2 linked regions of the Drosophila melanogaster genome follow. The protein of the gene in region 2 interacts with the protein of the main gene of each other region in a pairwise test. Each region holds a gene or a part of one and is shown on either strand. Other genes may lie near its edges.

The links.
Region 1: the proteins of Damm (region 2) and prd interact in a two-hybrid assay, tested with the Drosophila melanogaster proteins (one large-scale study listed by BioGRID).

What each region holds. Positions count from the first base shown.
Region 1 is NT_033779.5:12,082,372-12,087,701, forward strand, and holds prd (paired), read right to left. Parts: upstream 3,457-5,330; 5' UTR 3,159-3,456; coding exon 3,092-3,158; intron 3,008-3,091; exon of another isoform or gene 2,772-3,007; intron 2,718-2,771; coding exon 943-2,717; 3' UTR 624-942; downstream 1-623. UniProt on the Drosophila melanogaster protein: Pair-rule protein expressed in a segmentally repeating pattern to define the polarity of embryonic segments. Capable of sequence-specific DNA-binding.
Region 2 is NT_033778.4:11,863,487-11,868,396, forward strand, and holds Damm (death associated molecule related to Mch2 caspase), read right to left. Parts: upstream 2,898-4,910; 5' UTR 2,869-2,897; coding exon 2,836-2,868; intron 2,770-2,835; coding exon 2,728-2,769; intron 2,678-2,727; coding exon 2,470-2,677; intron 2,420-2,469; coding exon 2,014-2,419; intron 1,936-2,013; coding exon 1,857-1,935; 3' UTR 1,304-1,856; coding exon of another isoform or gene 1,224-1,303; 3' UTR 1,172-1,223; coding exon of another isoform or gene 1,033-1,171; 3' UTR 969-1,032; coding exon of another isoform or gene 886-968; 3' UTR 821-885; coding exon of another isoform or gene 718-820; 3' UTR 626-717; downstream 1-625. Other genes in the region: CG42531 (uncharacterized protein), read left to right, coding at 718-820, 886-968, 1,033-1,171, 1,224-1,303; CG13185 (uncharacterized protein), read right to left, coding at 4,658-4,834, 4,890-4,910.

The sequences.
Region 1 (5,330 bases), on a different chromosome or scaffold from region 2:
GTCAATATTTACTTTTCACCTCGATGGCCAGAGCGATAGAGCAAATAGCGATTAGGAGTTTTTTCTAGATTAAAATAATAGAGCCAGTGTGCGTTAGGCTGTCTGAGCTGTCTGGAGGTGAGGATTCAAGGATAATGACTTCATTAATTGCCATCGCTCGGACACGTAGAATATGGTTGGGTAGGCAGATCCCCGAGGATGAGGTGTGAATTTGAGGTAAGTCCGAACGAGGGCAATTACTCCATTTACTTCGTAGTCCCATAGGGACCAACACTCTCTATTCGATGGAATCGAGGGGGCAATTAACACCTTGGTTGGAGTTGTCTTCGCTATTTTGGACGTTCCAAATCATCATCTTGCATTTCGGGAGTTTTCTCTTCTTTTTTTCCGGAAACTATGCGACCCGCTCACAGCTGGATCTGAAGTTCCGAGAGCAGCAATCGGAATCGGTATCTCACCCGGGGCGAGTGTTGAGATCTCCAGCCAGGTCCGTGGAATGCGCAGCTACTAAAAGGCTCTAATGGCCCAGAGGATTTCCCATTTCCCGCTGCGTACGGAAGCGTGTCAAGGCTGCTGAATGGCCAGCGTTTCGAGTGAAAGATCATTGGAGTACGTTGTAAATTAGCATAGATATATTTTTTTATTTAAGAGCACTTGCTACTTAGGCTAATCATCTTAAACTCTAATCCTAAGTCGGTACTATTTTCTAGGCTTACATCTACGAATTGGAACTAATACATATGTTTATTGTTTAGGAGCGAGTCTGTCAGCGGTTTTCCCAAACGGAAAATGTCTGTACTGCTCCACCACAAATAAAATGTTATTTATATTTTCGTCCCCTGCTCTATGGGTATGTACATCTTTGGCGACTTGTACCATGGATCTGGTGACACCTGCTCCTGCTCCTGGAGGAGTAGGTGGTGGATCCGTGTCCCTTTGATTCTAGTACCATGAGGGATAGAACGGCTGTGGCGGCATCGTTGTGTAGTTGACCTTCGAGGGCGAAGGAAAGGCGGCGGCATTGAAGTTCTGGGGCATGAAGTGCGCCGACGAACTGGGCGGCGGATAGTGCGGATGTGCGCCTGCGTACTGCGGATGCGGATGTGCGTGCGGATGCGGCGCATGGGGATGTCCGTGATGCGAATGGGCGTGGCCTGGTGCCGGATAGGATGCATACTGCGGCGTATGCTGATACGGATGGAACATCTGGTGGGCGGTGACATCCAGAGCCTGGCTGGTCGAGCTGGTGGAGTTCAGCGAGTCCTCCGGCGAAAGTGGCGCATTGGGGCGCAGTGCCTGCATGGAGCTCCATCCGCCGTACAACTGCGACTGACTGGCCGCGATCAGGTCCACCGATTCCACTTTCAGGGCAGCCGATAGCTCCTCACTTCCAGCACTGGCATTGGCCAGCGACTGCGAGGGATCGGCTCCCGAGTTGGCCCCACTGGAGGAGGTCACACCAGCTCCACTCACCACCGCGGAAAGGCTGTTGGGTGTGGGTGGCAGTTGCCCGAAGGCGGAGGACACGGACTCGTTGGGGCTCTCGTTGCGTGGCATAGTCTGGTGGGTTTCCGTTTCGGTGCCGTAAACTGAACCCAACTGAGTCTCATAGCTGGAGACGATGATGTTCCCGGTGGGTGTGGTGTTGCCATTCTCACCCGGCATTATGTAGCTGGCTGTGTTAGCGCTGGGATTGTAGAACTGATGGTGGTGCGGTGGCGTGGTTGTAATTCCGGGCGATAGATTACTACTGGCCATTGGAGCTGCGGCGGATACGGAAATGTTGGCGTGACTGCCGTAGAAATCGTATTGCTGCTGGTACACAGTGGCTGGATCCAGGGATCCCGGCATCATGGCCAGCGGAGCCATGCTGGGCACACTTGATACCACACTGGGCAAAGAGCTGGACGCGGCGACATGGCTCACTGAGGCAGCTGCTCCGCCAGGTGCTCCGCCCGAGACCGAGGTGTGCTGCTTGCGGAGACGAGCACGCCGATTGCTGAACCACACCTGAATGCGTGCCTCCGTGAGATTGGTGCGCTGGGCCAGCTCCTCACGGGTGTAGATATCAGGGTATTGGGTGCGCTCGAAGGCGCGTTCCAGTTCGTCCAACTGGGAAGCGGAAAAGGTGGTCCTGCAGCGGCGCTGTTTGCGCTTCAAGGCGATTCCCGGCTCACTTTCACAGTCAGAGATGTCCTCATCGGAGGGCTTGCCGTTGTTGTGATGGCCACCTGAGACATCGGAGCCGCAGGAACTCGATGCTTTGGTGCCATCACCCGCCGGAGATCCAGAGGCAGAAGACATATCATTGTCCAATGGAGCATCTCGGCCGCGCACCAGGCGCGATATGGCGGACACAGATGGTGCTGTGCTCCTGTCGCAGACACCCTCGCGGATCAGCTTCTCCCTGATCTCCCACGAGAACATGCCCGGGCTACTGCGCTTGTACTCCTCAATTCGGTTCTCGATTTCGGGCGTGGCTATCCTCGGCTTGGAGCCACCAATTACGCCTGGTCTAATGGAGCCAGTCTCCTGGTAGCGATTCAGGATCTTCGATACGCAGCCATGGGACACACGTAGCTGTCTGGAGATCACACAGGGCCGAATGCCATCGGCGGCCATCTCGACGATTTTAAGACGAATATTGTTGGGCAAAGGACGACCGTTGATGAAAACTCCACCTAGTTGATTGACGCGCCCCTGGCCGCTGTTCATGTCTGGAATGAGGAAGATGAGAAAATGGAAATTTTAGAGGCTTTTCCAATACTAGCTAGGTAGAGCGGAGCGCGTGTCACTTGATTTACGACACCTTCGACCGGAGTTGACTTCCCGGGAAGACGGGAAACTCGGAGCTAAGGTCGAAGGTCAGAGGCGCGCGACTCTCCCGCCGGGCAACTAATGGCCATTAGAGAGTAGCCGACGGCCTTGGCCCAAACTGAGATCTTTAGCGGGATCTTGAGCCGTCGGTTTAGAAATGAAGATATATGGAAATGATCAACTAGGCTTTGATATTTAGTAAGTACATTGTGAAAGTGACTTATATTCCAAAGTGACTTTTGCTGGATGTTGTATATAAGCGATAGACACTCACCTTGCATGGTAGAATATCCATTGAAGAAGGGTCTGTGCATTGCGGCAGCAAAGGCGGTTACGGTCATAGTTTCTGGAGGAGCTCCAAGATGCGTAAGCTTGTCCCGGCACAAAACCGGTGTTAACTCAGTCTCGAAGTTCGTATATCACTTGATTATATCACTTTAGTTCTGGACAATGTCTGGACACTTTGTCAAAGTCATAAGTAAGCGTTGCGAGGTATTGATTAACCGATTAGTTGCACTTCGAATATCTAAGTATCTGTTAGTTCGCAATCTCGATGGGAAAGATGAAACGGAGGCGAAGGCGAAGACGAGAACGAGGACGAGATGCGGTGTGGCTCGTTGCGCAGTCTGTGCCTGACTGACTTCACCATCCGAACGTCGGCCAAGATCGTTGCCTTTCTGTGAAGCCACGGCCCAGACGTCGGCCATATCCCACAGTCACTTGGCAGGTAACCACTACGCGGACCAATCGCAGCGCTCTCCACAACGGCATCTCGCTCTGGCTCACTCGACCCATTTAGCAACCGTCTCGCTCGCCGCCAGGGGGCGTCTCAGCTGTGAAAAGCACCGTGGAATGGGAGAAGAGCAGAGAACTTTGGATTGGGGGGTATACGAGTACAAGGGAACCACAATACTTCTGCTCCAGATCCTGGGCATTCCATCCATTCAAATCCTATGCATAGTTTCGACTTTCACTGGTTTCCGGAAATTAATTAATGCCGTAAGTAGCACGATACAATTTAAGCGTTACATATCCTTTATGGATACCTTGTTATAAGGATAAGGGAATACTGGACTTGAGAGATCAGTCTGCCTGGCGTTTGCTTTTCACTCTTCACTTGAGATATTCTTTGGGGTTCCACTTGGCCCCGGAAATCAAATTAGATATTCACTGGAACCCATAATGCAATCGAGTACGCGTTTAACACTCTTTACAAGCGTAATATATCCTTTATTGATACCTAATTATGGCTTTCGTTTATATTGCCACTCGAGTAGCCTCTTTTCTCTCAGTTATTTATTGCTTTCGGAAACGGTGAACAAAGTTCTTCATTTCAAATTGTAGGTTTTATTTTAATTATCAGTATATTACATATAAATATAAAAGTGTGTGTTTAGAACTATCTATTGATAGATCATAGTAAATTATTTTCAAACAAAATAAGTGAGATATTAAATATATAACACCATATTGGATGCAGGGAAACATATTCAGTTGAATACAAAATCAGCGACTATTGATCAGTTTATGTTTCCAACTTTCCAATTTAACATTTAACAAAGTGACTTCATCCATATCCTTACCATGACCGCATCCACATCCTTGTCATGCTTTTGCCACCATTATGCTCCGCTGCCTCCGGCTTATAACCATAGTTTCGACCCTTTTCTATGGGCCGTCGTGGGTTTGATTAATTGTAGAATTTCACGCAACAGAGACCCTCGAAAAGAAGTTAAACAAAACCGATGGAAAAGAAAAGAAAGCGCCGAGTGGGATAACAACAAAAACCTGAAAGCCGCGAACAATAGAGAGCGCCAAGTGTTGCAAGAATTAATGATGGACCCCAACCTCCGTTTGAAACGCCAGCGAGGAAATTGACCCACAGAGATGTGACGAATGTGCATGCTCCTCGGCAGGATCCGTATCCAAGTGCCGGAGTGCAAGATCCAGATGAGATGCAGATCAAGGACAACGGAGGCCGCAAGGCAACAAAGGTTGGGTTTCTACTGCTCGGTGCGGCTGCCCGTTGGGCGTTTGGTTAAGCAAACCCAACGGGAGGAGTTCGCAGTACCAGGCACCCAGTATGGAATCGCTACATTTGCGCCTGGCAGGATAGCAAAAATCCCCGATGACCTTGAGCCCATGGCCACGATGGCAGACTAGCAAGTATTCTGTGATAATTAAATTATCCTCAAACATATGTAACTCGAATCAAATGGAGAGGCGCCTCAATCCACCATCGATACCCACCATTCGATTTGATCCTCGTTGATTTCACAATTTGGCAGGACAATGAGCGCTGAATAGGCAACTCATATAACGCTAATTTCGCGCTATCAACGCTTGGAAAAAGGCGATTCTGCTATGGGATCGTCACTTTGGGTAGAGAAAGGTCCTGAATCCTGGCCGAAATGCAGGAAGCAGTAGGAGGCATCGGTGCCATAAACGCTGCAAGTCAGCTTCGCTCGCATTTCCACGAATCGGCCAGCGGGAAAATGAAGACACATCCGTGC
Region 2 (4,910 bases):
TCGGCTGATGAAAACGAAACTGAAAACTGCACAGGCAAACCAGATCAAAGGGAGGGGCCCGTCGTCGTCACGTTCTGTTTTTGGGTCTTCCCGGCCCCTTTTCGGCCAATATTTGCCAAAAGCATTCGCCTTAATGCTCGATTGCGATGTTCACTTGTAATTTATTATGTAACTCGCACATTGCATTGGTCGGCCAGGGACGGTCATTGGGTTCCATGATCTACACTAAGGTATTTATGGGGCGCCAACTTCATAAAGAGGTTACTAACCCGCGAACAAGAAGTAACCAAATGTGAAATAATGAAAATTAAATTCATTTCTGACATGTAGAATCAACAAGCATTATTTCGGTAAATTATCTACTTATTTTAACGCTGGCAGTCCCAAGTGATATTCGAGTAGTATAAGCACACAATGTGCTTTTTAGCTTAAAAACCCCCAACTCGAAATGAAAGTCATAATGCACTGAAACCAATGCGACTGGAATATTCGCAATTCGCTCACAATATGTCATGATAATACGTATTTAATAGATAAGTAACAGATACGTAGCTTCTATTATTTGGCAAACTCTATAAGAACGGTTTGTTCCCATGTCTTACGTTTTTTTTTTTTTTTTTTTTTTAACAGTACTAGTTGTAATATAAACTGTGGTTCTCTGACAGTAGCTCTGCTTTTCTAATCAGTTTATGGAGTTGTCTAGATAAAAATTGTAAAATGGTGAAAAAATGCTGTTTCTGCATTAAATTGCGCAGAGCCTGCATCATCATAGCCATCGTGGACTTCATCATTAACTTAGTGGTGCTTAACTTGGCGGGTCGTAAGTTTGGGGCTGGCAGATCCATTTAAATGATCACCCTGGTAATGCATCCCACCTTCATCTAGAGGAGTTCATCGCACACATTGAGCAAGCGGTGGCAATCTGCCATTGTATCGGCTGCACATTCCTGCTGGGCGGAGCTTTAATCGTAAGTGCAGCCACTGTTTGGCACCCACTGCAGCCGATCCCATCTCCAAGCTAAACCACTATAGAGATCAACTGTTCTCCTGATGTTCTTCCTGATCACTAGCCTGACCAACTGTATGATCCTGTTTGTGTACTGCATCTACATGCTGATTAAGGAGGAGCGGTACCGCGAGATAATAGTCCCAGGATCTGCAATATATATATGTAAGTTGTTATTTTTGTGAGTTACTGCATCCTTAAAGAACATCCTTTTCAGGCTGTGGTATCTACTTCTGGATTGTCGTCTACTCGTATTATGTCGAAGTCAGAGATCCCGAAGACGTCCTGGAAGTTTAACAGCTTACGCAGAAAGAATAAAATTGCCTTGTGGGTCTGGATTGTGCTATCTGTTTTTCTAGGTGCTTATGATCTCAATAGTATTTAAGTTAATTGTAAAATTCATTCATGATTTTTTGGTGAACTCAAATAAAATTGAGATTATCCCTAGCAAATCGGATTCGAAATTAAAAATATTATAAAAAAAAATCTATTGTACAGTACTTTTTACAATCAACCATGTCAGAGCTTTGTAAATTCCAGGTGCGCTTCGTCACTAAGTTGACTGCCGTCCACAGATATATTTTGTATATTGGTAAATAAAGTTTGATAAATAGGTAAGCGCGTTATAATGCCTACCCACTTGCTTACCCACTTCCTTGAACACTTAACATTATCTCCGGGTTCCGCTTCGATTGATTTATTTAAAGATAAGATATCAACACAGTAAATTACAGTTTGACAAAGTGAAAGTAAATATATGGATCAGTTGAATCTGTCATTTAACTTTACTCTGACCAGAAAGTATCTTAAATATATTTTAAAGAAATTCTTTAATATATAACTCAACTCATTAAGTGTTTTTAGCATAATTTCCAAAATAAAAGGGTTTGTCGAAGTTGTGCGACTCCTCAGAAGGAACTTGTTTCGAACTGAAAAACAGAGAAAAGCAGGAAGTACATCATATAGTTACATCCTGTTGCCACACTGCTTATCCTAGTAAAACTTACCCTGTCATAGTTGACCTTCGTTCGACCTCAGCCTTAACATGCTTAAAGATCGACTGAAAGTCCCTGGTAAGGCCATATTGGTCCATTGCCTCGCACAAGGTTTGTATGAAAACCGAACCATGATTTTCATTGCGATAGCTCAAATAGCCCTCGGAGCAGCTGTAACACTTAATATAGGGTTCGTTGTTCATTTTTTTCGCGTCAGCTCTCAACGGACCCTTGCAGGCTTGAACAATTAAAATTTTTGGCTTGCCAGATAAGGTTGGATTTCTAAAGAGGGGAAAAAGGACGTCATCGTCCAAGTGGTATTCCCTGTGGTCGCATGCCAAGATTTTCTCTTTTCGGTCGCCATGGCTCAAGATAAAGAGGACAAATCCAGCGTCCTGGGTGAATCGTTTTGCAGACCCTTGAAGAAATTCGTTACTAAGAATAAAACCGTTTGCTCATATTTCTTACACTCCTTCACTTTGTTTTTAACGTCCGGCAACGCTGGGTTAGAAATAACTTCAACTCGACATTTTAGGCTTTCGAATGTTTTGCGAAGAGCATTGACATCATTTGAGCTACCCTTTCTGTTCAATTGAGAATCCTGAGGGAACTGCTCATGATTCAGAATGTACACGGCTGGCGGCTTTAGTTTTTCATTTAAATCAAGGCCTTGACCCTAAGGAAAATTCAATGGATGATTTGTGATTTTCTTCAATTTATACTTACTGGTTCAGCGTTGACCCTGTTGCTGTCATATAGTCTCTCAATCTGTATCAATGGATTTTTCGTAAAGACCATTAAGTTTCTTAAAATAATAATAATAACAATACGTACTTTTTGATGTTCTGTTCTTTCGGGCAGATACATGTTTACTGTTCGGCGATATAACGTTAACTGAGTAATGCACAAAAGCAAGTGCAATATTTGTTGTCTTATCAGTCACTATCTGGCCAGCTATATAGCCAACATCCGGATTTGTTCATCGACAAAAAAAGTACAAATTGAGTTACTATTTTCCGATTAAAACTTCCTTTACTGACCTTCTGACTTTATCTACCCGCCACTCGTAGAATAGAAGATAACTCGTCAACAGGCTGTCTTGCCTGTCTTTTGCTGTCTTTTCTCCCGTTGACTCTTTTGGGTTTTCACCACCGACTTCATCTGTGCAAATGTTAAAAGCACAGCCAATTAATTAAGTAAGTAGGTTAATTAAGTAATAAAGTAGGGTAAGAGGGTATAAAAAGGCAACAATCGGCAATACCTTTATAATCGGGAAATAACAATAAACACCCAAGTTGTACTTGCATTTGTCGATGAATATGATTGTGCCATAAATCTAATACGGGCCTTTATGTATTACTCAGTTAAATTTAGATCGGGGAACAAGAAACATGGATCTTTTTCAAGGAATTGAACATCAAAAAGTACGTATTGCTACAAATTGACAGACTATATGATTTAATCAAAAAACTTAAGCCTCCAATTGTGTACATTCTCAACATGAGGAGTTCCCTCAGGATTCTCAATTGAACAAAAGGGGTAGCTCAAATGATGCCAATGCTCTTCGCAAGACATTTGAAAGCCTAAAATGTCCTGTTGAAGTAATTTCTAATCCAGCTTTGGCGGTCGTTAGAAACAAAGTGAAGGAGTGTAAGAAATATGAGCAAACGGTTTTATTCTTAGTAACGAATTTCTTTAAGGGTCTGAAAAACAATTCACCCAGGAGGCTGGATTTATCCTCCTAATCTTGAGCAACAACGAACCCTATTTGAGCTATCGCAATGAAAATCATGGTTCGTTTTTCATACGAACTTTGTGCGAGGCAATGGACCAATATGGCCTTACCAGGGACTTTCGGTCGATCTTTAAGCATGTTGAGTCTGAGGTCGTACGAAGGTCAACTAAGACAGGATAAGTTTTACTAGGATAAGCAGTGTGGCAGCAGGATGTAACTATATGGTGTACTACCAGCTTTTCTCTGTTTTTCAGTTCGAAACAAGTTTGTTCTGAGGAGTTGCACAACTTCGATAAGCCCTTTTATTTTGGAAATTATGTTAAAAACGCTTAATGAGTTATAAACCTATTTCTTTAAAATAAAACCAAGTTACTTTCTGGTCTGTGTAATGTAAAACGACCGATTCAACTGCATACAGCTATATGATCTATAGATAGATAGATATAGATATATTGGTCAAACTGGAATTTATTGTTTACCTTATAGTTGACTAGTAGTACTTGGCTAAGTTCAATTTATTAATTCTACCTATCATTTACCCAACATACTTCAGGTGTAATACTTACCTTCATGTTATATACTCGTAGTTTGCTATCCGAAACTTTTTTTACAGCTTTTCACAACAATGATTGAAGATCAAGGCCCAGTGCGATAACGATATAAGCACCTTAGAATCGTTTAATGTTTATATAATCTAACTTTATACTGTTTACAAAAGTTTAATTGTAAAAAATAAAAAAAGTAACAATTTCAAGTAAATTATAAAAGCATTAGTGAACAATCGTACACTCGGTCACATTTTCAGTTTGTACAAGTTAATATTTACATGTGAAATATAACTAAGTGGGCTAAATATTCAAGCCTGTATTAATATTAATAAGTAAAAGTCACTTCTTTTTATCTCAAGAGTAAATGCAATGATTACTCGCTGTTAACCAACTCGAACCATTGTCTCATGGCTTCGCTGAGCACCAGCGGCAGCTGGTTAAGGTCCCGGACTATCACATAGTACGGAAAAGGAAAACTGTCCAGGTAGGAATTAATGTTCACTGATCCATCTGCGTTCACCGCCACATGTTGTATGTCCAGAATTGAGTTCTAAAGGTAGCCAAGGATTAGTTAAACTCATTGAATGTTCTTGAAAACCCATTACCTTATTGTCTGGATTATCGAT